Sus scrofa: one gene and its partner. The protein of the gene in region 1 purifies or fractionates together with the protein of each later gene. This does not show direct contact. Links are inferred from orthologs where the notes say so. Each region holds a gene or a part of one and is shown on either strand. Other genes may lie near its edges.

Region 1 (16,137 bases):
GCCATGATGGAGCAGTTGGAGTTTCAGGAACTTTCCAAGTTGTGAAGGCAGAGTTGCTTCTTACACGACAGAACTGGCAGATGCCTGTCAGTCAATTCTCAAAAAGTAAGTGGCGGGAATAAGAAGCAAAGAACTAGCAATGATTATGTGGGTCAGCCGGAGGGCCTATGACTGAAGATTCTGGGTGTCAGCCCTGTTGGCGGCATATCTGACCTTCTGTTTCCTCAGATGACTGAAGGTCAAATACATGGTGAGAAGGGGATCTCTGGAGCCTTGAAGTTCTGCACACTGAATTTTTAATTGGAAAACCTCTTTTCAAGGCAAAAACATAGCAAAGGACGTTTGGAAGTATTTCGAAGAATTAATTCACATGGCCTAACTTTGTAACAGAGAAAGAAGCTGCAGGTCTCACTTCAAGTCAGCTGATGAAGCACAATCCTTGCCGCAGGCTAAGGCTGGAGGAAGGGACGGTTCACCTTGGATCCAAGCAGTCCTCAAAACTACCAGGTGCAGGGCGCCCCCCGCCCCAATCTCTGGGCCAGGCTGCTGTGTAAGCGAGCAGGAAAATCTACTGAAACTTGACAGTGTTGACTGATGGCCTTCAGTCCTGGATGTTAACCAAATGTTTGTTATCATTGCTTTTTAACCAAGCAGTCTGTAACTCCATCTTCATGTTTAATTCAGAGAACTCTATTTCATAAAACATCAGGCTCTGGAGTTCCCCAATGGCTCAGTGGGTTAAGAATCAGGTGTCAATGCAGTGGCATGGGTGCAATCCCTGGCCCTGGGAACTTCCAAATTCCACATACAGCCAAAAAAAAAAAAAAAAAAATCAGGCTCCAAAGTGAGGAAGTGAGCACAATTCATGTTGCATTAATATTCCCAGCAAGCCTAAGAAGCTGCCCAGATAACCCGTGGTGAGGTGTCCCAAAGGACACCCTACAAGGAACCTGGTTGTTGAGAAAAGTGGATGATTTGGCTAATTTTTTAGAGAACTGTGCAATAACTTTTTGAGCAGTTAAATGATGTTTTAAACACAGTGGGTTGCTAAAGTTGTCAGAAGAAATATCTGGATCTAAGAAAATCTGGCAAAGCTGTCTGAATAAACACCAATTTTTATCTATCCCAAATGTTAAGATAATTTTCCAATGTTAATTTATAGATATTTGTGCTCGAGAGGAAAAAGTGTCTGGTGAGCAGACAGCTGGCAAAGGGAAAACACATTCAGCTGCCAGGCAGGCTGTGGATATTCTAAGTGCCCCCTTAATAAAGTGCTGACTCCCCCACAGAGACAGGCCACCCTAGCATTGATGGGCTGCTAAGCTGCTGCCAGAATGTTTCAAACTCCCTAAGTCACACCGTCTCAAGGCAACTGTAGAGACAGAGCCCCTGACCTTTAGTTCTCTCCAAAAAATTCCAATTATTTTCCTGGTCTCTCTTTTCTCCATCTTTTAACCAACTAAGGGCGTTCTGAGCGTTCACTGGTTTCCTAAGACTCTGCAATGAAATAGCTACATCCGTAGGTCAGCAATGGTTCTGAAGAAAGCATCACTTATTACAGCATCAGAGACTAGGGAATTAAGAACTTTGTGCTGTATTTCCAGCTCTTTTTCTGGCCGCACACTCACTGCTCTCTCCACCACCCACTCCCTGAGTCTGCAGGAGGAGGCGTCGCAAGAGGCAACGCAGGTGCTCACCAGCCAGGCTACTGTCTGGGGGCTGCTGCCAACTGACTGCTGGTTAATGACCCATAATCACCCACTCCTCTGGCAAACAACGCCAGGCGGTGCTCCGGCCAGGCCCCATGCCCTCCATGACCTTCCAAGTCCCACCCTCAGAGATTAGCTGGGAAATCATCTTTCTCTGCTCTTTCTTAATCAATCCCTGCAGTATGTAGGACTACATGACTGAATTAAGAGTTAGGAAGGTCAAACACATTTATAAATAATAAAGGATTCACATGTTAGAAATGAGTCTGTTACTCGAAAAGCCATAAAATATCTCATTTAAATAAGATCCTTAACAAAATATACATCTTAAAAATTCAGCACTAAAGAATGCTTTTTATAACTGTTACCATTTGAGAAACAAAGAATTAAAATGCGTAAGAATTATAGACACACCTTCGCACGAAACATGCAAGAAGCATCATGATGTCTTTCTGATATTCCTCTTCTTGGTTAACTAACCGCACACCAGGGAGAGACGCAAGTTCAGATGCGCACGGCCCAGAGGGGCCCCCAACAAAGTGGCAGGGCACTCAGTGGTTTCTTTCCCGCAATAAACGACATGGGGGGAGGGGGGCTTCACCAAGAAGCACACAATCCAGCTCCTTATCCAGTCCGTTGGCATTATCAACTGTCGAACCATTTGCTCCTCTTTGCAAGAGGAGCTCCTTTAGAAGGTCCCAATAACTTCTGCTTATATTGTTCGACCAGCTGGTTGAAGCGAATTTCTGTCTTATTTCCCTGAGCTTTTTTCCTAGGCACCTACAAATGAAAGGTAAGGAAATATAAGATACTAAACATAAACATAAGTTTCAAGCATTAAAATCACCTTACCCTCAGGCCACCTGAGGGAAAAAAATGAATGGGCTCAAAGACCTTGTCCACCAAAAGAGGGTCTTCCAGAGAGTGACCCCAAAAGAATCATCCATTGGTAAGAAATCGGACGAGGTATTCCTAAGAGAAAAGGCCCCACTAAAACACTGTTCGGGTGTGTCAGAGGCCTCTCCTAGTCCAGCTCCCAAATGCTCAACGTGAATCTCCTCGCCGCTGAGTCAGGCCAGGGTCTGCATGGTCTCGCCAGCCCGCTCCCTCACCAAGAACACTGCTTACGGGGTTCCAGAGAAAGCTCTCTATGACATAGGATGGGCTCCATAAGATAATATGACGAACGAGAGACTTCTCAGAGACTCAGATTTCTGGAGTAAAAATGAGAAACTAACACTTCTTATACCCTTAAAAGAAAGGGACTAGGGGAGGGAAAAAGAAAGTTTGACGTTAAATGATCAAGAATACAGAACCACTATTTTCTACTAAAAGAACCAGGACTCCTTGGAAGCTAATACCAGGACTGGCAGAGAAGCAGCTAAGATGGCTGGGATATCTGGCTGTACTGGAAAGCAAGGATGCTACCAAAGACGGGGTCATGTCAGAAGGACTCAGAAGTCAACCTGAATGGGCTTCTGCTGGCCTCAGATGGGACAAGAATAATGACTGCATCTGACTGTATATTAAAACTCAAAAATCACAAGATGAAAAAAAAAAATATTACTGGTCATCAGAGAGGTTGGTAGGGCACCAACCCATTACCCTGGAAACTGATTTTAAAAGAGAAAAAATCAAGCATTTATCCTGCTTATCCTATACAATGGTATTTCATGGTAACCAAACAGCTGACAAAAAGATTCTTTTTTTCTAGAATTCTACTTAAAAAAAAAAAGCAAAAACGGGAGCTCCCCTTGTGGCTCAGCAGAAACAAATTTGACTAGTACCTATGAGGATGCAGGGCCAATCCCTGGCCTCGCTCAGTGGGTTAAGGATCTGGCGTTGCCATGAGCTGTGGTGTAGGTCACAGATGTGGCTCGGATCCCGAGTTGCTGTGGCTGTGGTATAGGCCAACGACTACAGCTCCTATTCAACCCCTAGCCCAGGAACTTCCATGTGGCACAGGTGTGGCCCCAAAAAGAAGAAAAAAAAAAAAAAAAAGCAAAAGCATTGATGAAATTAGAGGATTACCACTCTGCAGCTGACACTGAGATACGGATCTAGGTAACTATCATCAATGGGACCACAGGTCCCCTAGGACCACAGGTGGGAGGTTGATGGAAGGCTTCACAAATGGAGGGAGAAGGCAGACAATCCCTAAGCCTACTGAGGAGTCAGAGCATCACGAAAAATGGGGCAACCGGACACTTGTGCATCTTATGGTGTGATGCAACTGAAAGTACACAGCACTGCCTATGAAATACTCCTGTCAAGCAAACAACTTGAATCTAATCAAGCCTCTAGATCTAAGGACCAGTTTGTAGGTAATACAGACTATGAGACGAACAAATTAAATGATAGCACAAGGAAGAAAGAAGCTAAATTCAAAATGTAATATATTCTCGGGAGTTCCTGTTGTGGCACAGCACAAATGAATCCAACTAGGAACCATGAAGTTGCCAGTTTGATCCCTGGCCTCGCTCAGTGAGTTAAGAATCCGGCGTTGCCATGAGCTGTGGTGTAGGTCGCAGACGCGGCTCGGATCTGATGTGGCTGTGGCTGTGGTATAGGCCGGCAGCTGTAGCTCCGATTTGACCCCTAGCCTGGGAACTTCCATATGCCTCGGGTGCAACCATAAAAAGCAAAAAAAAAAAAAAAAAAAAAAAAAAGTAATATATTCTAAAAGACTAAGGGCCTGGCTTCAACAACAAATTAATAGCATAGATAAAGGTAGGTGGTAAGGAAGACTGGATACTATAGGGGAAAAAAACCCAAGACCTAAAAGATTTAAACACCAAATACAGGAGTTCCTAGCAGTTAAGGATTCAGTGTTGTCACTGCTGTGGCTTGGGTGATTCCTGGCCTGGGAACTTCCACATGTTGTGGGCGTGCCCTTCCCCTCACCAAACCCCCCCCCAATATAATGTCGACTTTGTTTGGAACCTGATTCATACTAACTAAAAAAAAGTATTAAATATATTTTGAGGCAACTGGGGATATTCTAATACAGGTTGCTTATTAGATATTAAGGGCTTCTTCTTAATTTCATTAGCTGTGATGATGACATAATGTATGTTTGTGTGTATGTGTGTTTAAGGCCTGATTGGCTGCAGAGGCACTCTGAGATACTTTTCTGAGCAATATTCCTCATTTCCACATGAGGCACATTTACAAGTGAGGTAGAATCTGCTACAATATACTCAGGGGGGAGAGGGGATTGCTAAGTAAAACAAGATACTTTTGAACTAGAGTAACTAATACATGGGGTTCATCTTAATGCCATTCTCACTTTTAGGACTGTGCATCTCTATATCCTTTAAAAAGATGCAACCCTGTACATAACTGCAATTTAGAAGCCCTTTCCTTTTGCTCAACAGATTAAGGCACAAAAGTGGCTACATCCCTGGTAGAACTGTGCCATACATACCAAACCTCGGGCCCTACAGAACTCACCTGCTTGGAAGATAATTTCTGCTTCTCTTGCTTCCAATGGTTTATCTGGGGCTTTGGCTTCTTGGGAGGGAGAGACTTCATCTTGCCTTTGTCCCGCAACCTGCAACAATACGGTCAAGGGTCACCCTGAGTTCTTCCTCTAAGTGGTACCCCTGAGGTTTTCTCAGCCCAGAAAATAAAATGCCTTTTCTTACACTGGCTTTTTCTAAGCCCATGAAAAGTCATGCTAAAAAGGGATACTGCAACAGAACATCCTAGGACTCAATATCTGTATACCTATTTTTTTCATTCTGGCTTAAAACCTCAAAAACCTTCATTTACTTTTAACACTTATTTTGTAAAGACCGACTTTTGTGGATAGCCACTAAGCTGTTGTCCCAAAGAGAAACTACAAGGGAACCTCAGGTAAGTGGGCCTCAGCTACCAGAGGCGGCCGGCCATCTGGACGGGAGGAAGCTCTTCAGAAGAGAAGAAAAATGGCACAAAAGCCCACGCTGGAAGGTTCCTCTGAGGCGCCCTCTGCCAGCCCTGTTCTGGCCTCCATTTGGTCCAAGAGTGAGCTCTCTGCTGATGTGGAGATACTTATGCATCAACGCTACACATGGGACTGGCACACACGAAACATCCCTTTCATCCAAACAAAAGCCACAAAGAGGAAAAAAGGCAAAGCAAAAGCAAACCCCTCAGAAGCTGTCCTGCATCTCACCTGATTTTGGGGCCTCGGTGAGAGGGGAGCGCCAGGACCTTTCTTCTCTTCTTTCCATCAGACAGCTCCACGTGCTCCACTTCGGCCTTGGTCTGGAACCCTGTCCACGAGACGGAGCCCACCTTCCCCTTCTGCTCCACGGGGGCCTTGCTTTGCTCCTGCATGTGGTTCTGAGCTGCTTTCTGTTGCTGTTTTTTCCCCATCTCTGGTGGCTCCTGCTGGGGCTCACCAGTTGCAGACTTGGATTTCACTTTTTGCTGCATAAACAAGAGAATGCCATTTTGGTTTCTGGATGAGGTTTATGTGTTGGAAATACTCAGCAGAAGAGGAGTGAGTTTGGTGAAAGAAGGAAAATTCTTCCCCTAAATAGTCAGAGATTTTAGGAAAGAGAATGCAAGTAGTTCACAGGCCCTGAAATAGTAACACAGTTTCTGGGTGGGGACCCAAAAGCACCACTTCCCTTTCTACACGCAGAAATAGAGGGAAAGCCAAAACTCAAAAGCCAGCAGAAAACAAAGGCCAGTAGCACGGGATAATTATAAAGAAAGGTATAACAAATGTGTAAGGGAAATGAGAAGAAAGAAAAGGAGTTGCCATTGTGGCACAGTGAAAACGAATCTGACTAGTGGTCATGAGATTGCAGGTTCAATCCCTGGCCTTGCTAAGTGGGTTAAGGATCCGGCATTGCTGTGAGCTGTAGTTTAGGTCACAGACGCAGCCTGGATCCTGCATTGCAGTGGCTCTGGCATAGGTCGGCAGTTGCAGCTCCAGTTCCACCCCTCACCTGGGAACCTCCACATGCCGTGAGTGAGGCCCTAAAAAGCAAAAAAAAAGAAAGAAAGAAAGAAAGAAAAGAAGAAATATTTGAGGTAGTGAGAGCCGAGGATTTACAAACGTAAGGACAGACACTAAACCTCAGATCCAGGAAGCTCAGCCAACTACCAAACAGGATTAATACTAAAAAATCTACACCTTGGCATAATATATCAAACAGCAGAAAACTGAATAGAAAATCTTGAAAGAAGCCAGAGGCAAGGAAAATACCTTACCTACAGAGGAACAAAGTTAAGATTACATTGGATTTCTCTTCAGAAACCAAGTAAGCAAGAGGAGAACAGAGTCAAATATTTAATGTTTGGGTGGAAAAAAATCACCAACCTAGAATTCTGTATCCATGAGAGAATTCTGTACCCACCAACCTAGAATTTTGATCTATGAACTCATCAAAACTGAAGGATTAGTAGACTCTCTCAGAGAAGCAAAAATTAAAGAAATTTATCACGGGTAGACCTTAAGAAATAATACATGAATTTACTGAGAGAGGTAACATGACAGATGTTAGAAACTCAAATCTACATAAAGAAGATTAAATGAAATAAGGAGTTCCCATTGTGGCTCAGTGGTAACAGACCTGACTAGCATCCATGAGGATGCAGGTTTGATCCCTGGCCTCGCTGAGTGGGTTAAGGATCTGGCATTGCTGTGAGTTGTGGTGTAGGTCACAGACATGGCTCAGATCTGGCATTGCTGTGGATGAAGCGTAAGCCAGCAGCTGCAGCTCGATTTAACCCCTAACCTGGGAACTTCCATATTCCATTAGTACAACCCTAAAAAGACCAAAAAAAAAAACCAAAAAGTTAAATGAAATAAAGACAAAGAAAAGATGACCTGAGATGGAAAGCAAAAACTACATAACAGATTTAGGTGGCATTGGTGGGAGAAGAAAAATAAGATTCATGTGAAATAAATGTAGTAATTGTATTATTCTGTCTGTACCCTGATACAACAAAGATTATATGCCTATGATGTGCCAGTCTCTGTTTCTAAGCAGTCAGGGCACAGATGGATAGACCGAAGTGTCCATCTTTTAGGACTCACAGCCTAGTGGAGCTAAGACATAAAGTAAAAAACTAAAGACGATTTCAAGGAAGTTCATGAAAGTGCAAGTAAAAAAGTCTTTTGAGAGAGGTGGGAAAATGGTACTTGAGGAAGTGCAGTTGATTGATCTGAATATGGAAACCGAGAAGCAGCATCCCTGAGTCAGGGAAAAGGGACACTTTTACACAGAAAGATCAGCATGTGCCTAAGTGTAGGCAACAAATAACGCTACCTGAATTGCAGTAAATAATTCTATACCTGCAATAACAAAGCTGCCCTGAATAATCACCAGAGCCCAGGTAACCCAGGACCGTTCTATTAACCACTGCTCCTATAGGTCATGCTCATGGTATATACCTGAAGGACACCAAAACACAGCAAATGTTTGGTATATTTACAAGCTAAGGCATAACATCAATGAGATCTGTAAGAGTTATGGTATCAAGTATAACCTGGCCTTCCATGTCCTGGGGCAAGATGGGTAAGAGAATGAGTACTGACTCTGTATGGACCATGTGGTGTGTGAGACAACTTACACTACTACCCCATTCAATCCCCATCAGCCACGTAACACAGATGATGTCAATCCTGTTTTACAAACTAGAAACCGAAGCTGAGAGAGGTAATAAGTAATAACTTGCCAAGGAACTCAGAAAGCGGCAGAGCCTGAGTCTGAACGTGAGTATTCCTGGCCCCAAAGTCCCTGTTCTTTCCTCTATACTCTACTAGATTACAAACAGTGCTGAAACTATCAGGCATCACACTTTGGAGCCATCCAAGAAGCAAAAAGAAGTATGGACGAGATAGCTGAACTCTATAGAACAAGTAGCACTTAATTCTGGCTATTACTTTTGACACATACATCATGAAACCCTACAGTACAAGCACTGCTCATTGGTAATAACATCAGGCTGGGTCTCCCCTCTCCTCCCTCCTCCTCCTGTGGAGCTATCACAAGCCAGGCCAGCAGAGGAGAGACAGCCGGCAGAGTTCTAGGAGACTAAGGGTAAAGGGTAACAAGGAACCTAACAAGGCAGAGACCTACACCAAGGGAGCAGAAACACAAACTGAACTGAACAAAACAAAGTCTAAACATGGCATCAAAGAAACTGTTCTAACTACACACTTAAAAAATAATAATAAGGTTTATGGGACATGCATGTTATTTACTACAATTTTAAAAAGCCCCCCACCCCAAAAAATTTCCCTTTTGTACCAGGCTGCGCTGCATCCTCATTTCCTTTATTTTAAGTTTCCTTCGATCTTCCAAAGAGAACTCCACTATTGGTCTCTGGCAGAAGGAGAAAGCAAGCCATTCATTAGATTTCTTAATCCGCGCATGCAATGAGCTGAGATGTCCCCCCCACCGCTCCCCGCCTTCTTGCAAGGCAGAGGTTGTTGCTACTTCACTCCCCTTAGAAGCCAAGGGGCCAGTTCTGCAGGCAGCCGATCCCATTCAGGGTTCCTCCTGATCATCCTACCACCTGAACGGCTGCTCACTCCCTCCCTTGCCACTCTCACCCACCACGCCAATGTGAGAGGGCTTTCTGCAAATGTCTCCCCACAGGAGGAGACTCACCTTCTGAGGCCCAAAGATTTCTGGATTGTTGTTGATGTGGCGCAGGGCGGCCAGGGCATGCTCGTGCTCCTGGAACTCTGCAAAGGCGTAGCCCAAGGACTGACCCTTAACTTTCCCATGAGCTCCTTTGAGGTCTCTCATCACCCGACACTACGAGTAGAGCAGAATAAGAAAAAAATCAGTAATTACAGGATGAAGATGCTTAACAGCTTCAGTAAGAAGTTAGGTTATGGGAAAAAAACAAAAACAAAAAACCAAAGACAAAAAACCAAAAAGTCAGGTTATTGGAACAGTCTCCATTTAGATCGTCACCACCAGAACTGTACTGGTGGAACACTTAGGAATGCCTGTCTTTATTAGAAGACACCTACTGAGAGAAGCAAACAAATGAGGTATTTTCCTGTTTTTTGAGAGTTTATAGACATCAACACACACCCACGAATAAGCATGTAAGCAAAATAAACCTTCCAAGGAAAAATTACAAAAGCTAACTGTTGAGATGACAATACATACTAGGTAAGAGGTACGTGGTACTCGAGGTTGTATAAGTTAGCACTGAGGCGGAAGCGCTGTCTACAGATCTCATCACGGAAGAAAGCACTCAGAAAGGAAATTAGTGAAGAAGGAAAGGATGAAGACCTCGTGGTTTTAAATCAGAAAGACAATTCAGGGAGTTCCTGCTATGGAATAGCAGGTTAAGGATCCAGTGTTATCACTGCAGCAGTTCAGATCACTGCTGCAGTGCGGGTTCAGTCCCTGGCCTGGGAACTTCCACATGCCGCAGGTGCAGCAGAAAGGAAGGAAGGAAGGAAGAAAAAGACAGACAGACAGATCAGGCATGGGGACGATGCTGCCCAACATACAGCCTCAGGAAGAAGCTTTAGCTGCCTTTGCTCAAAGCTCAGCTCCTCTCTGATGTGACTTCCCCCGAAATCCTTAAGCTGTGAGAGGCATCCTGGAGCACCCAGGAACAGTAGGATATTTGGGAAAAACAGATCGTTTACATGTTTTTATTCCTGGAAGCTAAAGTTGTCAGATAAAGTAGATATTGGAGACGCTTGGATGCTGCATTTGGTCCATGCCCATGTCTTCTCTGTGCCTAGAACTGTGCCATATGCTCTAGGCACATCAAGAAAAGCATAAAATGAGGCCCTTATCCTCAAGAGGCTTACTGTCTTACTGAGATATTATACTTCCACATTTGAAAGGATGAAAGAGAAAATTCAACATAATGCAAATAATGTAAAACACATGTACATTTCTTTAAAAGATGACACATTTTAAATGGGCAGACCCTAAGTACTGTGGGTGTTGATGAGAGATTACACAACTGACCCCTCTGCCAGTAACATTTTGAACAGTTTTATTGAAAGTGGTATCAGCCGTGTGCTGATATTGTTCAGTCTCTCCTGTAATTCCCTAAACACCAGTACCATACGTTCTAAGAGACTTTCCAGGAGTAGGAAAACAGCTTATGCTGACGAATCAGAGCAAAGCAGATTCATAATACATATATATATATGTGTGTGTGAGACTGGGTCACTTTGCTGTACAGCAGAAAACTGACAGAACATTATAAACCAACTGTAATAGAAAACAATAAAAATCATTATAAAATTAAAAAAGAGAGAGAGAAAACTATGTCTCAATTACTATGCCAGGAACTGAGAACAATGAGCTAACACCTGCTCTCAAAGAGCTCGGTCTGGCTGGGAGCAAAGACTGACAGATAATTATAGGACAGTGTGGCAGTAGATGCTATGACAGAGGTATGCACACAGTGCTATGGGCACAGAGCAGAGGTTTCTGTACTCACTCAGAGCCTAACCAAGTCTTAGTGTAAGGAAGTTCCTATCATGGCTCAATGGTTAATGAACCTGAATAGAATCCATGAGGACGTGGGATCGATCCCTGGCCTCGCTCAGTGGGTTAAGGATCTGGCATAGCTGTGGCGTAGATCGCAGATGCAGCTTGGATCCCACGTTGCTGTGGCTGTGACATAGGCGGGCAGCGACAGTTCTGATTCGACCCCTAGCCTGGGAACCTCCGTATGTGGTGGATGTGGCCCTAAAAAGACAAAAGAACAACAACAACAACAAAGTCTTAGTGTGAAACCAGAGTTTGTCCAACACAACTACTGAAGACCCAGGTGGCTCCCTGTGCTCACTGCAGGGCATTGAACCCTCTTACTACTGGGGAAGAGTCTAAATGGTAGAGATATGCTCTTCTAAAGAGCAAAGCACAGGAGTTCCCGTCGTGGCACAGTGGAAATGAATCCGACTAGTGGCCATGAGGTTGTGGGTTCGATCCCTGGCCTTGCTCAGTGGGTTAAGGATCTGGCGTTGCTGTGAGCTGTGGTGTAGGTTGTGTGGCTTTGGAAAGCAAAGAGAAAAAAAAAAAAAAAAAAAGCAAAGCACACAGATTATTTTCTCTGCAAGAAAATTAACATTACAGTACCTGGTATGCTAAGAACACAGCAGGTACCCAAAAAATGCTTGCTAAATTAATTCACGACGGCAGAGACTCCCCCACATTCTGCTACAATTTTATCAGCTGTGAAAGGTAGTTCTTAAAATACGGAAATACATTTTTTTTTTTAAGTCAAAACACCATGAACAGAGTTTCCTGGTGGCTCGGTGGGTTAAGGATCTAGCATTGTCACTGCTATGGGTCAAATAACTGCTGTGGCATGGGTTTGGTTCCTGGCCAGGGAACTTCTGCATGCCATGGGTGTGGCCAAAAGAAAAATAAAAAAGAAAACTGGGAGTTCCCGTCGTGGCGCAGTGGTTAACGAATCCGACTAGGAACCATGAGGTTGCGGGTTCGATCCCTGCCCTTGCTCAGTGGGTTAACGATCCGGCGTTGCCGTGAGCTGTGGTGTAGGTTGCAGACGCGGCTCGGATCCCGCGTTGCTGTGGCTCTGGCGTAGGCCGGTGGCTACAGCTCCGATTCAACCCCTAGCCTGGGAACCTCCATATGCCGCGGGAGTGGCCCAAGAAATAGCAACAATAACAACAACAACAACAAAGACAAAAAAAAAAAAGAAAAGAAAACTGGCGAACTCAGCTTGTCTGCTGACAATGTGTCCAAAAGAAAATCTGTTGATCTGCTAGCAGCATAGCCTGAACTACACTTGCTCTGACCCAGGATGAGAACGGAAGTTCCGAGGCATAGTAATTGAGACATAGTTTTCTCTCTTTTTAAAAAATTTTATAATGATTTTTATAAAATTTAACAAAATTTTATAATGATTTTTAAAAAATTTCTCACCTCCTTGATGCGCACTCCCTTCTCCCCTCTTGTGGAACTCAGCAGCAGCTTTCTGAGCTGCTTGTCATCCACGGCCTTTGGGAGATTATGCAGGCACAGCCTGGTCCGGGAGACAAAGATATTCTGGTCCTTGAGTTTCTGATGCTTCAGCAGCTCAAACTGAAAGAACAATCAATTGTTAAATACATTACAATCCAATCCCTTTACAAATAAAAGCTCATAATTCCAACAGCAAAGAATCATAACCTATCCAATAACATATAGGAGAAAGGAGGGAAATCAACCCCTCTGCTGCTTTCTGATGCCCAGTACAGGGAAAGAAAGGTTCATGGAGCCAAGACGGTGGGCAAGTGATTAGATAGACCATGGGCTCTGGAGTCAGACTGAATTAGAAATTCAACCCTAACTGGAGAAGTCACATGAAACCATTTAAGCCTCAATAACTTCACCCGCAGAGCAGAACTATAGATCAAAATATAGTATCAATCTCTGAGTGAGGCCAAAATGAGGTAATATGCACAAAATCCCAATTTCAAACTTGGCCCAGAGCAAATAACAAAAAATATTGTGGTTAACATCTATGTCAAGCCCTTACCTACCCACCAACTCTTAACTAATTGTTTAGTCCTTCCAAAAGAAAATGGAATTTATTTAAATACTTGAAAGAATGTTGCCTTGTCTCAACTCTGCCACCTTTAGGCAAAAAAAGTCAATGGCCATAGCAACAAATTCTGCTTGTTAGAGGCTCAACTATGCTACACAAAGCACAAGTCCCAGGCAATCTGTCTCTAAAGTGAAAGGATGACTTTCTTCTCCTGACTTGTTTGTTAAAATTAGATCAGTAGAGAAAAGTTTTAAATTTTTTCTCTTATCAAGTCTTATTCCTGCTGCTTCATGTTTGGTGAAGGTCCTAAAAAAATCACAAAAATAAACACTCTGGAAACAAGTATTTTACGGGACTTTTTTTTTTTTTTAAAGGCCGAGCCCACAGCGTACAGAAGTTCCTGGGCCGGGGACTGAATCTGAGCCACAGCTCAACGTACGCCACAGCTGTGGCAATGCCGGATCCTTTAACCCACTGAGCTGGGCCAGGGACTGAACCTATGCCGATGCAACCACTCAAGTTGCTGCGGTCAGATTCTTAACGTGCTTCGCCACGGCAGGAACGCTCTTAAAGGGCTAAATGAAGAGGCTATCACCCCTAAACTCAACAGCGTGACTTTTCTCTCAGGAAAGGCTGTGCCTACTGGGATTTAAAAGGTATACAGTGAGTTTTTTGCTAGAAAAATCCATTTTAAGGGAAAATTAAATGTGTCACCATCACATTGTGGTCAGAAAAGGGGATACAATGCCCCCCAAAATCATATTCCCAGATGCTCACTCCAAAAAAATTCAAGAACACTATCTAGAAACTACCCAGTAAAGACATGCTGCCCTTGCTGTCACTATAGTCTCATCTCTGTCCACCGTCTTCTGCACTTTCAGGTTATATAGCTAATCCTGTCAATGACTATGAATCTTTACCACTCTAGACTGGCTTAGCTTTTTAAATATAAGCTATAAAGGCAAAAGTAAAAATTCCTGGAATAGACATTACCAAGCAGCAAAGGATCTCAATAGTATCAGTTATCAGTGGAAATGCCACAATATAGTTTTCCTAAAATGATTTTATAATCTGGAGATACCACACTGCCCCCCCCAAAAAAATCAGGCATCTTCACTCTCTCAAGACCCGTATCTACACAGAATTAGCTCATTTCCTAACTCTAGCCCATTCTGATATTCTTTATATTATTCTGCATTTATATTGATACCTAATTACATACAGCTCAAGTTTCCCATGATCTAGAAGCAGACTATTTAGCAAACATTTACTACTGAGTGTAAGGAAAATAATCACATGTAATGCTGCCATATTATGTACAATGCTAGGCTACTTGCTGTTTTAGCTGGGTGCTTAATCTCTTTTTTCTTTTTTTGTCTTTTTGAGGACTGCACCTGTGGCATATGGAGGTTCCCAGGCTAGGGGTCTAACTGGAGCTGTAGCCGATGGTCTACGCCAGAGCCACAGCAACGCAGGATCTGAGCCACCTCTGTGACCTACACCACAGCTCACGGCAACCGGATCCTTAACCCACTGAGCAAGGGCAGGGATCGAACCCGCAACCTCATGGTTCCTAGTCGGATTCATTCCTGCTGCGCCACGACGGGAACTGCTGGGTGCTTATTTTCTAACAATAGTGTAGGGAGCACCTCTGACCGATACCTGGCTCTTTGATGAGCACTTCCTACATTCAGTTATTCTCATTGATTGATTTATATGAAGTCACGCAGAACCTAAAGGCTGGTGCCTAATCTACTCACTCGTTCTCTTTTGGCCATATCAGCAGCACTCACACCCTCTGCAGCCTTCGTCCCAGCACGAATCACTGCAGAAAGAGGGAAAAAGGCCAAGACATCAGCAAGGGACTTTTCACTGAGCAATAAGAGGAATGTGATTTGAATGATGCAAGCTCTTTGTACAGGGCCCAGAGGACTATGCTGGCCAGGACATAGTGGCATCTGGGTAGGGCCAGAAATAGGCTACAGGGCTAAGTTCTTGTCTGTGAGTTGCTCTCAAGGACTAAAACTCTGAACATTTTGTGATTTTGTTCCTCTTTCCTCTCCTTCCCCTCAAAAAATTTCATGAATATGCCTAGGCGGAAAGGACTAGAGGAAGTTCTGGAAATGAGTGCAGTTCAGGCATTTGGAATGCAAAACATGTTCTACCTATAAGCCATCCTTGGAATTTCACTGCTCATGTATTTGGCAGCCATTCTCAGTGGTGAGATAAGCGAACCTAGAAAACGGCCACATCGCAACACTGGGCCTAGTCTCAAAGGCCAACAGCCTCCCACTTCCTAGTCCAGGCTGTGCAGCTGTGCAGCAGATGGCACTACTGTGTGACCAAGAGGAAGGAATTCTTCTCTTTTCTTAAAGCTAATTTCTGATTATCTTTCTGACATGAAGGGAAAGGTATTCATTGCATAATTAAAATCCATGAATAATCCAAAAGAGTAATTTTAGTCTTAATTTTCAACTCCCTCACAAAAGCTATCAGAAATGATGACAAGAGGCAAAGGTAATCTGAGTTCTTCTTCCCTCTTTGCCCTGCTAATCCTCTGATGGAAAGGTCCAAAGGCAAGCAGGCAGAAAGAAGAACAGGACTGGGCCATCCCCAAACTGGGTGAAGGCTTCCTAAGAGAAAGCCCCATCTGCTAAAGTGGAATTACAATATATCACTGTTAAAGAGGCCATAGGGTTTTTATTTTTAGCTGGAAACATGCCCCAAACGTACTGTTGCTGGGGTCACTGTCACAGCAAGGGGCCAGCTACTCAGAAGCCTGGTTCATGTCTCCCTGCCACTACTCACAGCCTTCTCGGGCCAGATAGAGGTTCCGAGTTCCCGTCGGCTTCTTCACCTTCTTTGTCCGGAGCTTTGCAGCCTCATCACGGGTCACTGCCAAGTCAACCTTGAGCTGACGGCCATCCAGTTTGAGCCC
Region 2 (16,237 bases), on another chromosome or scaffold:
TCAGGTGACACCGCGCCCACCCGAGGACTGTCACCAGGACACACTTACAGAACAGTGCTCCGCCTGCTGCACCGGGAGCCCCAGGATCTTCTCGGCGAGCAGCTTCAGAGACGGCCGTCCACTCTGCAGGGGGCGAGAGAGCAGACACAGCCCCGCTGTGGTGTGGCCTCTGCAGCTGGAGCTCGGGGCAGGGGGGCACCCGCAGAGCCCCAACCCCAGGGACCTTCAGTGCGCCTTCCATGGATAAGTGCCCACAGCCCTGAAGGCAGCGGTCACCCGGTCAGCCCGCAGAGGAGCAGGGACGGACACCGCCCCTCTGCTGTCCAGCCTCGGGCTCCGGTGCTCATTCCAAAGGGGGACTCTGCCTCTGGAACAGAGACGACAGCGGCTTCTTACCCGCCGCCGGGGGCCCAATCAGCTATCAGAGAGCGGAACTCACCTGCCCTCGGAGACGCTAACCTGAAAGACGGCGTTTAGCCGGATGCTGTCTGTCTTTCTATCTGTCTGTCCTTTTTTAGGGCCGCACCCATGGCATATGGAGGTTCTCAGACTAGGGATTGCATTGGAGCCGCACCTGACGGCCTACCCCACAGCCACAGCAATGCCAGATCCTTAACCCACTGAGCGAGGCCAGGGATCGAACCCACGTCCTCATGGACACTAGTTGGGTTCATTATCACTGAGCCACAACGGGAACTCTAGCCAAACTCTCTCTTTTAAGGTTTCTTTCAGTTTTAAAGGTTAAAAGGAAAGACCAAGCCAAAACACCTGTAGCCGCCGAGCTGGCCTCCAGGACCAGACTGGCAGGTCAGGCCTGCGGCCACTCCTGGCAGAGCGGCTGATTCCAGTACCTTCACTTGGCTCCTGAAGGGCCTGTACTTCTGCGTGTCCCGGACCTTCTTCTTCGGGTGACCCAGAAACAGCACCTGGAGGCCGAAAACGTGACGGGCGTTTCACCGTTTGTCTACAGTGATCCCCCCCAACTCCAACACACACACACCCACCCAAACCCACACACACACACACCTAAAACCAAGTGCTGATTCCGGCCTGAGCTTCTGAGGGAAAATCCCTGGGAAGAACCAAGGGGATACAACCACAGCCTTGACACGGGGGAAGCCGGTGACTAAGCCGCCAAGGAGCCAGCAGCCAACTGGTTCCGCGTGGTTGGAGTTGTTGCACGTTCAGGAAGTCAGACATGAAAGGTCACCTGGTGACCTCAGGACAGGCCCCAGGAGAGGCTATTTATACAGGACGTGCTGGAGTCACCAGGGGCGGAGGGGGCGCGAGGAGGGAGCCTGAGCCACGGGGGCCTCCGAGGTGAGGCTGTCCTTGATGAATCGCATCTCAGCGGGCAGAGGACCGGCTAGGTTTTATCAGTTCGAAGTTTACTTTTAAAAGGCACTAAGACCAGTTTGCTGAGTCCCTGAAACATCGGTTTCCACAGACCACTGAGAAACCCTGGGCCCAGGGAGGCGTCTCCACTGCCCACAGCCGGGACCCTACAGAGCAAAGGCTGAGGCCACATTGTCTGGGGCACAGGAGGGGGACCCTCCCAGCTGGCCCATGGGCAGCAGATGCAGTGCCTGGCTGCCCTCATGGGTGGGCAGGGACTCAGATCCCAGCTCTGCCAGGCTGACACAGCAGGCAGGGCCACCCCGGTCACTGAGTTACGAGAAAGGCCGGCAGCGCCAAGAGCCTGTACCTTGAGGTCATTGTGCAGCGCGTGTCCCACCAGGATGCGGCCCTTCAGCAAGGCTGCCACCTCCTTCTGCACGATTTCAAATTCCTCTCCTGAAAAACAGACAAGTCGACCACTTCTGAGAGGGCGGCCCCTGCCCCTGGTTGGACCCAAGAGGCCAGCAGGGGGGTGATGCCAAGGCCGGGGGGCTGTCCCAGCCCCCCAAAGGTGGGGAGAAGTGGAGGGAGCATGCTCACTGCCCCCAGACAGACCAATGCTGAATCTACAATAATAAACCAGGGCTCAGAGTTCCCCTTGGGGCTCAGTGACTAATGAACCTGACCAGTATCCATGAGGATGGGGGCTCGATCCCTGGCCCCACTCAGTGGGTTAAGGATCTGGCGTTGCTATGTGCTGTGGTGTAGGTCGCAGGCACAGCTCAGATCTGGAGCGGCTGTGGTGGGGGCCGGCGGCTGAAGCTCCAGCTTGACCCCTAGCCTGACAACTTCCATATTTCCATATGCTGCCGGTGCGGCCATTAAAAAAAAGGAGGGAGGGAGGAACCCAGACTCATGCTTGGTGTCTTTTCAACTGGAAATGCAAACAAGGAGTGGGAGTCCCCTGCCGCAGATGTTGAGAAGCCTGGCTCCAGACCCTGGGCTCCGGGTGGCCCTGCCTGCTCTCTCGGAGCGGACCCCTCGGGGCCCCCAAAGGCAAGGGCTGCAGCACAGCACTCATGCCCAGTGGCTGCCCGCCCCTGATCAAGCAGGCCCGGCAGAGCCTGGATGGAGACATGGTCAGGGCTGGGCTGCCTGTGGGCCCAGTGCGGGGAGCAGAGCCAAGGACAGGGGGCCTTTAGCCTTGGCCTCCAGGGTCTCCTGGCCCCAAATCTCATGGCCTCCCAGGTGCTTCTTGGTCCCTGGGCCCAGCCTGTCCCCTGGCAAAGCCTGCGGACTTGGCCCCGTCCAGAGCCGGGCCATGCTCCTCGCCTTTTAGGGTCACCTCCGGCTCACACCTGCTCCCCTCTCCCAACCCCTACAACCTACTCCCGAGACCACCACCAGAAGGAACCTGCTAGAAGCCGGGCCAGACCGGCCTCATGGCTCACCACCTCCCAAGTCTTCGCACAGGCCCGAGGCCCTCCAGCCTGTTCCGCCTCCCCAGCCCCCTCCCCACCCCACCCCACCTCCTTCCTCTGTCCCCACGGCCAGGGGACTCAGAGCAGCTCGGGAACCCTGTCCTAAGGTCGAGGGGCCAAGAGACAGCGAGGCAGACGGGTGGGACGGGCACAGAGCCAGCAGAACCCGTGCGCCCGCGGGGGAGGCCCCATGGCCGGAGGGGGAGGGAAGCAGGCGGGGGCCCCCCCGCCTCGGAGACGGGCTGGGAACCCACCCTGCGCCAGGTTCTCGGGCCGGATCCCACTGACCGCCGTCCTGTAGTCGGTCACCGGCTGGGTCGGCTTCACGTACTTGTCATAAACACACTTCCCGAACTGGTTCACCAGAGACACGCGGGCCAGCATGCTCTCGTCCCCCTGGGGGCCCACGCCCACCATCTCACAGTCCAGGGCCAGGGCTCTCGTCAGGCTGCAGGGGAACCAAGGGTCCGGCTGAATCCAGGCCAAGGGACCCGGGTCTCAGCAGGGTGCCGAGAGGGGCTGCCCGGCCCAGCGGGGGAAGGGGAAGCAGCTCCTTCCTGAAGACCCCCGGCCCCACGTACCCGTCGAAGGCCCGCTCCTTGACCAGCGTGACACCGCTCTCGCTCTGGCCCAGCTGCTTCCGGGCCACCTGGGCCGCCTCGGGGCCGAGGGCCGCTTCGATGTCTGCAGGGTCCACGTCATCAAACCAGATGTCCGCTCTGGGGGGCGGGGAGAGCAGCCGGAACGAGAACTGTCAGGCCCCGGCCTGCGCTTCCTTTTCTTTGGTGGCCGCACCCGTGGCAGACGGAAGGTCCCGGGCCGGACCGAATCTGAGCAACGCCAGATCCTTTAACCCGCTGGGCCCCGGGGACCGAACTCGCACCACCACAGCGACAGCTGGCGAGCCCCCTGTGCCAGCAGGAACGCCACTGCGTCCTTTTTAAGTGACCAGGTACGGTCAAAACTCAGGACCGCAGGGCGACCCAAGGAACAGGACACAGGTGTAACGGCTGCGGACGTTTCTCTTATTTACAACGCGGGTAAACAGGGTGACTGGAGAAGGTCAACAGACCCCTCCCTGCCCGCCCCCGTCCGAGGACACTGCTTCCTGGGGGAGGTGTCTTTCTGGCTGAGCTTCAGCGGCACTTCCTGAGAGCCCCCCCCCGGGCATCCGCTCCCAGGTCTCCCTCGCTGGGTTTGTGCAGACCACACGCAGGGAGGTACAGACACGACCCAGGGCACCGCCTGACCCCTCGAGAGGGAGGGACTGGCACACTGACGTGTACACAGCAGGCAGCCAACCATTCTTTCCCGGAACCTAGAGCCGCACAGCCGGGCGGACTGACAGACACGCCATGCCCAGCCGAGCCCTCCCAGGGCCGCACTGCCCTCTGGCCCTGCCCCGAGTGCCCAGCCCAGGGCAGCACCTCACAGACCAGCAGCAATGACCACACAGCCTCAGGGAAGGTCAGGAGCCTGCCCGCCCCAAACCGCCCAGCTAGCAAGACGGGGGATCCGGTCCAAAGTGGGGGTCTCCCTGACTCCGGCGTTCCTACATCCCACAGTGGCTGCCGGGGGCCTGCGATGCTCCAAGCCCTGTTCTGGCCGTGGAGACACAGCAGGTCTGAAGCGGGCTTGGGCTTCTTTATGCCGACATCCCAGGGGAAAGGAACGACAGAGAACAGACAGTGCCAGGGCGAGGGGACGGAGGCGCCACCCGCCTCGGCCTCCTTAAGGAGAGGCCTGCAAATGGCAGAGTGGAAGGGCTGGGGCTCGCCTTGTCTCATGGAGACAACGAAACTACAACCAAGTGCTGAACAAGCCTCAACCAAAAAGACTGAGAACTGCTAAAAAAGATACCCTACTCCAGAAGACGAGGGGGGCCACATGGAGATGGTCGGAGGGGTGCCTACGCGACATGAGCAACCCTATACCTCCAGGGCGTGCAGCCCACAGACTGGGAAGTGACTGTATCGCAGAGGCTCCCCCGTGGCAGGGAGAGTTCTGAGCCCCACATCAGGTTCCCAGGCCTGGAGATCCGGCACTGGGAGAAGGAGCCCAGGGGCATTCGGCCTTGGGGGCCGGTGGGGCTTGTGCTCAGGAGCTCCGTGGGAGTGGGGGAAACGGAGCCCCCGCTCCTGAAAGGCGCACACAGGCTCTCATGGGCACCGGGTCCCAGGGCAAAGCAGAGGCTCCACAGGAATCTGGGTGAGATTGGCCTGCGTTTCTTGGGCGATCTCCTGGGGAAGCAGGAAAGCAGGGGTGACAGTGGCTCATTGTGGGGGAAGGACACTGGAGGCAAAGTTCTCTGGAATATTCGTTGCTGGCACGCGTTCCTCTGGAGGTGGCCATTTTGGGAAAGTCTGGCCCCACCCATCAGGGCTGAGAAGCCCCAGGCCAAACAACAATCCAGGTGGGATCACAGTCCCACCATCAGCAAACAGACTTCCTAAAGACCCCCAGGCACAGTCTCCTCCAATCTCACCCAGAGACAAAGCCCCACTCGCCAGAGGGCTAAGAATCAGCTCCACCCACCAGTGGGCAGGCACCGGTCCCTCCCATCAGGAAGCCTACAGCAAGCCCCCCCCTTCAGCCACAAGGGGGGCAGACGCCAGAAGTGAGAGAGGCTATAACTCTATGGTCTGCAGAAAGGAAACCACACCAAAAATCTATACAAAATGAAAAGGTAGAGAATAATGACTCAGATAAAAGAATAAGAAAGAACCCCAGAAAAACAGCTATGTGATCTAGAGGTTACCAACCTCCATGACAAAGACTTTAAACGAGTGATATTAAAGACGATTCAAGGTCTTGGGGATAAACTGGAGGCGGAGGCTGATAAGTTACAAGAAATATTGATGAGATGGAAGATGTACCCACTAAGCAAGCAGAGATGCGGAATACAGTAACTAAGATAAAATACTCGCTAGAAAGAACCAACGCAGAACACAGGAGGCAGAAGAACGAATAAGCGAGGTGGAGGACAGGCTGGGGGAAATCACTGACCCAGAGCAGAAAAGAGAAAGAAGACTGAAGAGAACTGAAGACGGTCTGGGAGACTCTGGGACAGCGTTAAGTGCACCAACATCCGTGTTACGGGGGTGCCAGAAAGAGCAGAGGGGGAAAGGGACAGAAAGAAGATTCGAAAAGAAACTAGCCGAAAACTTCCCTAACATGGGAAAGGAACCACTCCCTCAAGTCCAGGAAGCTATACAGGAAGTACCCTATAAAACAAACCCAAGGAGGAACACCCCGAGGCACATGTTAATCAAACTGACCAAAACGAAAGACAAAGAGAAAATGTTGAAAGCAGCCAGGGAAAAGAAACAGATGACACACAAAGGAACCCCGATAAGGTTATCAGCCCATCTTTCGGCAGAAACCCCGCAGGCCAGAAGGGAGTGGCACAGCATACTTAAAGTGATGAAAAAACCTCCAACCAAGATCACTCTGCCCAGCAAGGCTCTCGTTTCAGATGTGAAGGAAAAATCGCAAGCTTTACAGATAAGCCAAAGCTAAGAGAATTCAGCAGCACTAGACCAGTTGCATGACAAACGCGAAAGGAACCTCTCTAGGACAAAAGGCCACAACGAAAATCAAGAAAATGAGAAAATGAGAAATGAGGAGAAAGGCCTCGGCGGCTGCGACCGTGCTCAGGATGAGAGGCTGAGGCAGTCCCCACAGCCACACTGGCCCACGGGCACTTACTCGGTGGGCGCGGCTGGCGGTAAGGGGGCAGTCACCTCCTTAGCTTTCCGCTTCTTATGCTTGACGTCTCCTCGCTTTGGAGAAATGTCGCCACTGGTCCTTGTCTTGGCTTCCTTCTCCCTGTGCTGAGCCCGCCCGCCGGCCTGTGTGCGAGGGGCGGGCCTCTTCCTCTGCGTCGGAAGTCGCGGTGAGGGCGCAGCGCCTCCGCTGGCCTCGGGAGCTGTGTTTTCTGTCCCCACCTCGCTCCTCTCTGCTCTGTCTGGCACCGCTTTTCTGCTGGGCTGGGCCCTTTGGGGCTGCTTTCTGGAATTCAGCCGAGAGGGAACGAGAGACTCCTCCAGGGCCTGTGACTTTGGTTTCAGCAGCTGATGGAACCCAAAGAAAACACGGGACACATTTTAATTCAAATGTCACACACAAGAGATTGAAAAACTCGTATGTATGTGTGTAAAACCGACCTGTTTTCACATTCACAGTTACTTTAGAGTCAATTCCCTCACAGATCAGCCGACAAGCTGGGCCACTGAAGCCGCTTTCTTGATCAGACTTCCTGGTTTGCTACTGCTGTGAGGGTCTTGGGAAGGCAGGGTGTGCCCACAAGACACGGCTGTGCCCTCAGCATGGCCATTCTCAATACGGTTAAGGTCCTGCCACACAGCAACCAGCTGAGATGAGGGATGAGGCTGCTTTCTACTCACCCGTTTCTCTAATGTTTAAAGAAGAGAAATGTGGAGTTCCCGTTGTAGCACAGGGGGAACGAATCCAACTAGTAACCATGAGGACGCAGGTTCAATCCCTGGCCTTGCTCAGTAGGTTAAGGATCTGGCACTGCCATGAGCTATGGTGTAGGTGGCAGACGTGGTTCAGATCTGGTGTTGCTGTGGCTCTGCTGTAGGCCGGCAGCTACAGCTCTGATTCAACCCCTAGACTGGGAACCTCCATATGCTGCAGGTGTGGCCCTAAAAAGCAAAAAACAAAAAAATTAAAAAGAAGAGAAATTTACTTTCTTGTAATAAACGGAGAAAACGCAAGGTTTTTCCCACAAGAAACATCCTTCTGCCTGCTTAACTTTGCTTTACTTTCTTGAGAGAAAGACCTAAGACTACAGTTCAAGAAATCAGGGAAGCCAGGGGTTGCCAGATGGAATTTCATCATCCTGTGTGTCAAGACAGGAGAATTATTATCTGGACAGCTCTTCTCTGTTCTGACTCTGGGACTTTGAGGGTCAGTAGCAGCAAAGGGCAGAAACGCACATCTGACCCAGTGACTGCATCCCTCAGTCTGCCGTCCACTAGCTGTGACACTGGGCCAAGTTCTTAAACGCTGCCTCCACCCCCTTTCCTAGAAAACAGAGGTGATAACAGCAGCTACCTCCGAGGGAGGTGGAGAGAGTGCAGGAGGGAGGCACAGGGAGCAGCACTTAGCAGACAGAAACCTGGCCCTAACTTTGGGCCACTGATGCGGAGAAAGGCAGCAAGTACCACGTGACATTCAGAACAGGGACTTGGGCATCTGACTCCTGGCTCCACTGGCCCAGCTGCAGTCCTGGACAATTTACTTAACGTTTCTGGCTCTCTCATCTGTAAGATGGAGAGGAACGACCAAGGCCTCTACCTCACCGTGTCCCTGCGCCTGGTGAAATAAGAACACACGTGGATCACCCAGCAGCGACTGCACGTTTTAAGAGCTCAGCACCTGGAGGCAGCTGTCATCTATTAAAGACCCGGAGTGTTGCTAGAATCCTCCGGCCCAGGTTCCCGCTCTGCTCTCGCCCCGAGCTCGCCACCGCCTGTGAAAGACTCCGAGCACCGACACAGCGCTCCCTCCGGCCTGCCTCCGCAGCTCCCGGGGCCCCGCAAGCCCTTCTCCTTCTCTCCACTCGGGGAGGCCCTGCCCTTACCTCCCGCAGAACCTTCCAGTTTTGGGAAAAGTCCTCTGGTGCCTTTGGAGGCCGCACCGCGACCCCTCTGGGGTCGTTCCCCGGCTTCGTGCTCGCTTCTCGGGCTTTGTTCTTCCAGAACCTTTTCTTTCTGTTTTTCTTCCGACTCGGCTTCTTGACGAGCCCGGGCTCAGGCGCCGGGTCGCCCGGGGCGCGCTCGGGGGCCAGCATCCTCGCCTTCGCCATCGCGGCACCGACCCGGCCCCCGCGCCCATCCACGGCGGCGCCGCCGCGGCCCCGGAGCCGGGCTCTGCCCGCCGAGCACGGGCCCCGCCGCCCCTAACTCGCCGGCCCGGGGAAAAAACACCAGCGCTCCAGACCCCGGAAGCCGCCCCGCGCGCGTCTCCGCACGTGCGTCCCGGTCCCCGGAAGCGCTCGTCTCTCCGAGGCCGGCTGGAAACCCGGCCCTCGCCGCTGGTTCCGCGCGGCCGGGAGCGGGGCGGAGCTCTCGGTCCCCCAGAGGAAAACGGCCGCCAGCCCGGTCGGCGGCCCGGGATCAGGTTGGGGTAAGCGCGGGAACGCACCGAGAGCCCACGCGGGGCAGAGAAACGCGAGCGCCGGAAGGGACCGAGGGGGCCGCCGTCGTTGTAGCGCCGCTGCTGGGCCGGCGCAGCACTGGCGCAGGCGGCCGCCAGGGGGCGCTGGGCGGCCGGGCCTGGAGCGCCGGAGGCGGAGCCCAGACTCCCCCGGCTTTGCGACGGGAGACGGAGGCTCAGGGATGAAAGGGGGTCCCCAGGTCGCCCAGCCTGCTTTACCAAAGCCATAGGGCTGCCATTTCCCATAACAAAAACGAAGCATTGCATTTAGCGTTCTCTGTTATTTTAACTCACGAGCACACCTGCCTGGCCCTGACTGTACCTCGTAAATAACCTACATTAGACCTCTGCACCCCGAAGCTTCGGTTCCGGTCTCTGTATGTGCCTGGGAGCCTCTGGGGAAATACAGGTACTAAGTCAACAATCTTGGAGAGCAGTAACTACAATCAAGATGATAAAATGAGGTGCTGGGTTATGAGGCCCCCAAACAAGATGCAAGATGCCCAGAAAAACAGGAATTTCAGATAAAGTCTACTTTTTATAAATATGTTTCATATAATAGCTGCAGTATTGGGGGCATACTTAACACACACACACACACACACACAAAATCCGGAGAGTTCCTGTTGTGGCACAGAGGAAACGAATCCGCTAGTGTACCTGAGGATATGGGTTTGATCCCTGGCCTTGCTCTGTGGGATAAGGATCCAGCGCTGCCGTGAGCTGTGGTGTAGGTCACAGATGCAGCTCGAATCTCCTGTTGCTGTGGCTGTGGTGGAGGCTGGCAGCTGTAGCTCCAATTGGACCCATAGCCTGGGAACTTCCACATGCTGCAGGTGCGGCTCTAAAAAGGAAAAAAAAAAAAAATCCATTGTTTATCTGAAATTCAAATTTCACTACTGTCCTGATTTTTGTCTTCTAAATGTGGTACCTTCTCTCCCTGGAATGGGTGGGGCACTTAGATGGTGCCTAGAAGGAGGTGCCATTTGAGCTGAAACTCGATTGAGCAGACCAGCGGCCAGAGGGAACAGCAAAGCATTGGATGTATTTGAGGCATGAAAGGCAGGCTGGTGGGGCTACAGGTCTTTGGGCACAGGGGGGAGGGATGGGGAGGCAGGCAGAGGGCCGGACAGGGGCCAAACCTTGGATTATAGGGCCTCTGAGGCTCAGGATGGAGTTTGGACCTTTTCTTCTAAGGAGAAAGGGGAGCTATGGATTGTTTTGAAGAGGGGGAGTGATGAAATGGGATGGGGGGGTGGGAGAGAGGGAGAGCAGGCAGCCCTGTTGGGAGCCCATTCCAGTTGCCCAGGCCAGCGAGGAGCAGCCTGGATTGGGGCCACGTGTCGGTTTGGGTCTGTGGGAAGCGGTTCCAGGGATGGAGTTGGGAAGGCACGCCTTTAGTTGGGGTGGAATGCCTGCGGGAGGTAAAGGGCGGGGCAGGGAGTGCCTCACACCTACTGACCCTGAGGCTGCAAAGTGGGCCGGCCCAGGTGGATGGGCAGGTGCGTCTTCCCTGGTACCCAGCCTGAGGAGGGGGCTGAGGCAGGCAGGGACCAAGGCCGATTCTCACCCCCACCCCCACCCCCACCCCATTAGCCATCCACTAAGATGGGAGAGGCACCCCGAAGGTGGGAGAGAGTTGTATGAATCTTACAAGTGGAGCGGACCTCGGGTGGCCTGTGATGCTGAGCGCAGTGGATGCCCCCAGCCGGGTTCTGTGACTGGCACAGACCAGGCAATCGCGGAGCGGGAGGGAGTGAGGACAGGAGACTGGAGACACAGATCCTGGGGAGCAGGGTTCCCAGAGAGCAGGCGGGGCGGTGCCTCAGACTGAGCCAGGGTACTCCCACATGGGTGATGAATCCCCTCCCCCGCTCCGGGCTCCCAGGCGCAGGACTGCAGCTCTGAGCCAAGGCCAGGTTGCGGCAGGAGGAGCCTGCAGGCCGCCCAGCCCCGTGGCCCCTGCCCTGGGAGGAAGTGCCGCGAATAAACACTGCCTAACCGTCCAGCGCAGCGGGTCTGTCACACTCCTGCCGCCGACCAGATCTCAGCCGCCAGGCTCTCCCGCCCCCCGCCGGGCCAGCAGGCTTTCTGAGGATGAGGGTGAGAGACCTTCGCCTCCGGGGGCGATGCGTGCGAGGAATCCTCACGTCTCTCTTCCTCCTGGGCTGCTGGGGGCTCTCCCGTTTCCCGCAGGTGGGTGGATCCACGGATGCGGTGCCAGGCCCCTGGGAGAGGAGGGGGCTGCCCAACAACCCTTGGGTGGAAGGGGAGCAAAGCTGAACTTGGACTTCAGGGGACTGAGTGGGCTCACTGGACAGGGGGTTGGCCTAGCGCCGTCCCCTGGGCCGGCAAAGAGCAGACACCGTCTGTGGTCTACGCGGACAAAGACGCGAGTGGCCGGCCTGCCTTCGCATCCTGGGGCGCATCTCTCCCCACTCCCCTCTGCCCCCTCCTGGCCTTGTCCCTCTCCCACCTCCCCCTCTCCCTCACCTCCCCTGCTCATCTGCTCTGGCTTCCAGCTATTTCTTCAGGCTTTGGAGCCGGAGGAAGTGACTGCTTACCTTGGCCCTGCTGCCGCCTTGGAAGGTACCTGTCCTGGCATCGTCCTTGCAAAGGGAGTGTCTCAGCGCCTGGGGCATCTCACCACTGGGTCAGGGGGCTTGGCTCCTGGGTGGCTCTGTTGGGAGGAGGTCAGAGCCGTCGCTGGCGTCGTCGTTGCCCCGCTAATGAATTCCATTACTTCTTGCCAAGTCGATAAGACTTGGTCTGGGTGTTCTGGGCTGAGCTGGGGCTCTGACCCCGGGGTTCTGCTCAGTATCTCCAAGGAACAGTCACTAATTAGCTGGGCCTCCTTTGGGCTGACTGATTTTCAGGAACTCTTGCGGTTTCTGGCCGGGGCTGTAAATATTTATCTCTTCTGTGAGCGACGAGATGGGCGCTCGGGTCCAGCTCCAGCCAAAGCCTTTTCCTGTCACTCGTGGGCCATGTCTGTGGACTCTTCCGTGGCGCCAGCCCCCTTTCCCAGCAGGGCCATTGGTGAACTTGATCCAAAGGCTGGTGGGGACGGGAGCAGGGCGGGCTAGTGGTCAGGGTCGAGAAAATCGGGGATGTCCCACTGGTGGCTGGTTTCTTTGTGGTCCGTGTCAGATACACACTGACTGATGCCAGGGGCCGTAATGGGGCGGGCAGTGCTGGAGGCCGGTGGCTGATCGTGGGGTCTGGGGGCTGGGAACGTGTCTATCTCATCTTCCAGGTCCCCGAAGCGCTAGGAGACCACAGCCTGGGGTCCCCAAGGCTCTGGGGGCCACCTTGGGGTGAGGGGGAGGAGGGCGGGGTCGGCCCTGGGCGCCTGCTTTCCACTGAGGCTTGCACCTGCCTCACCTGTCGGGGTTCAAGCCGTTCCCCCGTGTAACAGGTGTTGCAAGGCGAGGCTGCTGTGCCGAGCTCTGGTCGGGTTCCCCAGCATCGAGCTGGGAGGAGGTGGACTTAAACCCAGACTCCGGGCTCTAGGCCAGGCCTCCTCCCCACCGATTCTCCCCAAAGGGGAACGTGTCTGCTTTGGGGGCAGGTAGACCTCCCGCCTCTGAGCGGCCCTGCACAGTTTGCAAGCTCATTCACAGTCCCGTGGCTTGAGCCTTGGCCCTAGGTCGGGGGTCACTGATGGTTCCCACGCTCTGGGTGGGAACCTGAAGCCCCAAAGATGAGAACTGCCTGCCACGGGCCTGCAGGATGGCTCCGGGGCTGGGCTGGATGGGGCTTTGGTGCGACCAGAAGGACATAAAGCCACGCAATAGCTCCCTCCTGGGCCTTGTGCTGCTCTGAAGCACCTAGTCAGCACTGGGACCCGGGCCGAGGGGTAGGATGAAATGTCCCCCCACCCCCCGCCCCGCCCAAGGTGGCTGTCCGGGCCATCAGTCATATCAGTCGCCCCATGGGTGACATGCCAGAGCTGGGGACCGCTCACTCTCTGAGAGCCTGGTTGTCCAAGGAGTCGAGAAGGCCACCCTGCATCCGTTCGTGGGTGTCTGAGGATCTGCGGGCACCGAGAGCCCAGCTCCAAGTGGGCCAGGGCGGAAGTGCCCCACCCGGCTCCCCTGTGTGTGGGGTGCGGGGCAGGGCAGGCCCCCTCAGGCTCCCCACCTCCCCTGTGACAAAGCTGGGGCTTGGGCCACTGTGATTCCAGGCTCAGGAGCCAAGGGTGATGGAGGGGCCTGGCCCCACCTCTGGCCTGCTTTCCAGGACCCTCGCCGTCAGCCTCGCCACCCACCTCGCCAGGCCGCCCTCCTGCCCGGCGCCTCTGGAGACGGGCTGCTGGGAGCGTCCTGCACCTGGAGCTGCTGGTGGCCGTGGGTCCCGATGTCCAGCAGGCTCACCAGGAGGACACGGAGCGCTACGTGCTCACCAACCTCAACATGGTCAGTGCTGGCATGGGGCACAGGCTCTGTGGGCGACGCTGACCCAGGAGAGGGCTTGGGACCCTGGTGGCACTGTGGCCGCCCTCAGGAGCCTGTGGACACAGTGCCCCATACCCAGGGCTCATGCAAAAAGAGTCAGTGGGCTGGCTTCTCTGGTGGATATGGACCTGAGCCTGGGGTCACACGTAGGGCTCAGGGCCTGGGGTGGGAGAGGTGTGGCCTGTTCTTATCTGCCCCCTACACACTGGGCAGTGCCCCCCACAGCCTCTTTCTGCTTTTGTCCCTTCACCCGGCCTCACCCCCCATCAATCTGTGGGCACCTCGGTTGGCCCTGCCCGGGTGCCCAGCAGGGCTGCACCCCGCTGGGCTTTCTCAGCGCCCGCATGTCTGCAGGCCTCCTCTGCACTTAGCTTTTAGGGGTAACAGTGGGGTAGGAAGCCCAGCTTCCATCATCTCAGAGACCAAGAGGCAGCCCAGAAACAGGTGACCGCAAGGCACCTGATGACCCCGTTTCCCTGATGGGCTGTGCCTGGCCACGCGCGTGTTCACACATGAAACACACAGACACACGTGTTCCAGGCCACCAGGTCAGTGTCCGCAAACATCAGGAGATTAATACGACCACTGGCGGCAGGCAGGGCCAGAGTTGCTCCCCTGGTACGCTGGCCTTGGAGGGCTGGGCAGCTGTCCTAGAATATGGGGTCCTTGTCCCCAGCCTCACGAATGCCCACCTCTTTGGGGTTTTTTGTTTTTGTTTTCGTCTCTTTAGGGCTGCACCCGAGGCATATGGAGGTTCCCAGGCTAGGGGTCTAATCAGAGCTGTAGCTGCCCGCCTAGGCCACAGCCACAGCAATGCCAGATCTGAGCCACGTCTGCGACCTACACCACAGCCACAGCAACGCAGGATCCTTAACCCACTGAGCGAGGCTGGGGATCGAACCTGCATCCTCATGGATCCTAGCCGGGTCTGTTACCCCTGAGTCAGGATGGGAACTCCCTGCCCACCCCTCTCGGATAAAAGGAAAATATCCCCCAAACACAGAGCCCCGGGCACTCTGACCCCTCTCCTTTCCCAGGTGTTCTCTGGGTCTCCCACCCCAAAGGGAGGCTGTGTCCCAGATGCTACACCCACGGGCTCCCAAACCCTGGGAAAGCTGGTTCAAGGCCAGGGTCAGCCTGCTTGGGTCTCCACCTGCACGCCCAGAAATGGCACATATTCAAAGTCATTTGAAAGCTGTGGTTTTCAAGCTTTGGGAGGCCCTCCCCCACCTCGAATGTGCTGGAATTTGGTAATCAAACCACACTTCCTCTGGTCATTCGACATGTTTTATGAGGACCAAGGGTGGCCAGGTGGTAGACTGTAGACGGGCGCCTGCCTACATGGTGCCAGGCATGGTCACGGCCAGTGTCACGACGGGGCACCCACCCTGTGCCCGCTGCATTGTTCTTAAGTCTGCTGACAGGCTGGTGCAAACAACCGCGGTACAAGTCGAACAGAGCTGGCACCTTGGCAGACGGACCACGAGAGCCTGGCTGGGGGCGAGTGGGGGGTGTTCTCATCGAGGTGCCTGGGAAGGGGCCCACGGAGCGGGAGGCGGCCCTCGGGTGAAGGGGGCAGAAGTGAGAGAGGTGTTTTGGGGAGATGGGCGGAGATGAGAGAGGACAGGGTGCGTCCAGTTGAAGAGAAGCCGTGTTGGAGTCAAAGCGCCTTCTAGACTCATGACAATTATACGCAGTCCATTGTTTCGAGGTTCTGGGTGTTGGCTGGCCTTCTCGAGCTGTGAGCAAAGGGGGGCCCCCAGCAGATGCGGCTGTCTCTGTGGTGGCTCCCAGTCCCAGTAGTGGCATTTTGGGTACCCCTCCCCTCAGCTGATAGAGTCTCCAGGCTTCCCCCGCCCCGCCCATGGTGGACCCCGGCCCACCTCTCTGCCTGCCTTTGCACAGGGGTCAGAGCTGCTGAGGGACCCGTCCCTGGGGGCTCAGTTCCGCGTGCACCTGGTGAAGATGGTTATTCTGACACAGCCTCAGGTAGGCGCTGGGCTGGGCACCCAGCCCCCTGGGGAACCTGCTTCCGCCCACTTGAACCTGTGCCTGTGGGTGCCCACAGAGCAGCAGGGGTGAGGGCAGGGCTCCCCTCTTCCAGCTCTGCCCTGGCACTCAGCCTCTGTCTCCTCATCTGTAACGTGGGACAGGAATCGGGCTGTTACGGGGCTGACCGAGATGCTGGCAGCGGGAGCACCCTGCTCGGCGTGGGTCCCCTGAGGGTGCGCTCTGTGGCTGGTCCTCCAGGATGCTCCGAATATCACAGCCAACATCACCGCATCCCTGCGGAGCGTCTGTGAGTGGAGCAGGACGGTCAATCCCGAGGATGACGCAGATCCCAGCCACGCCGACCTCGTCCTTTACATCACCAGGTACCCAAGCTCCCCGCCGGTGCCCCAGCCGCCCTGGGAGCCGCTCCCACTCTCTGCAAAGGTGGCCCGGCGGCGGGCAGGCACCTCAGCACTGCCCAGGTGTCTGTTCTTTCTTTCTGAGGTTTGACCTGGAATTGCCCGATGGTAACCGGCAGGTTCGGGGGGTCACCCAGCTGGGGGGTGCCTGCTCCTCCTCTTGGAGCTGCCTTATCACAGAGGATACTGGCTTCGACCTGGGGGTCACCATCGCCCACGAAATTGGGCACAGGTACGAGGCCCCGCCCCCGTCCCCAGGTTCTGGGCAAGGACCTGACCTGGGCCCCGGGAGGGGAGGGTGTGGTTGGCAGTGGTCCCTGGAAGAACCTGCTAGAAGGAGGCCACACCCTCAACCCCAAGGGACTAG

What was found.
Region 2: the proteins of RBM28 (region 1) and REXO4 purify together in Homo sapiens (affinity purification with mass spectrometry; 3 studies listed by BioGRID and IntAct, with this or other methods). This does not show direct contact. The link is inferred for Sus scrofa from reciprocal best matches to the Homo sapiens genes RBM28 and REXO4.

What each region holds. Positions count from the first base shown.
Region 1 is NC_010460.4:20,054,984-20,071,120, reverse strand, and holds the end of RBM28 (RNA-binding protein 28), read right to left. Parts: coding exon 16,008-16,137; intron 15,025-16,007; coding exon 14,960-15,024; intron 12,755-14,959; coding exon 12,596-12,754; intron 9,476-12,595; coding exon 9,326-9,475; intron 9,038-9,325; coding exon 8,963-9,037; intron 6,126-8,962; coding exon 5,869-6,125; intron 5,263-5,868; coding exon 5,163-5,262; intron 2,490-5,162; coding exon 2,355-2,489; 3' UTR 1,962-2,354; downstream 1-1,961. UniProt on the Homo sapiens protein: Nucleolar component of the spliceosomal ribonucleoprotein complexes.
Region 2 is NC_010443.5:273,013,128-273,029,364, forward strand, and holds the start of REXO4 (RNA exonuclease 4), read right to left. Parts: upstream 8,827-16,237; 5' UTR 8,653-8,826; coding exon 8,428-8,652; intron 6,893-8,427; coding exon 6,528-6,892; intron 3,539-6,527; coding exon 3,401-3,538; intron 3,268-3,400; coding exon 3,074-3,267; intron 1,795-3,073; coding exon 1,706-1,794; intron 1,073-1,705; coding exon of another isoform or gene 965-1,072; exon of another isoform or gene 939-964; intron 927-938; coding exon 852-926; intron 124-851; coding exon 49-123; intron 1-48. Other genes in the region: ADAMTS13 (A disintegrin and metalloproteinase with thrombospondin motifs 13), read left to right, coding at 11,100-11,198, 11,525-11,591, 13,245-13,420, 15,365-15,448, 15,710-15,834, 15,956-16,102.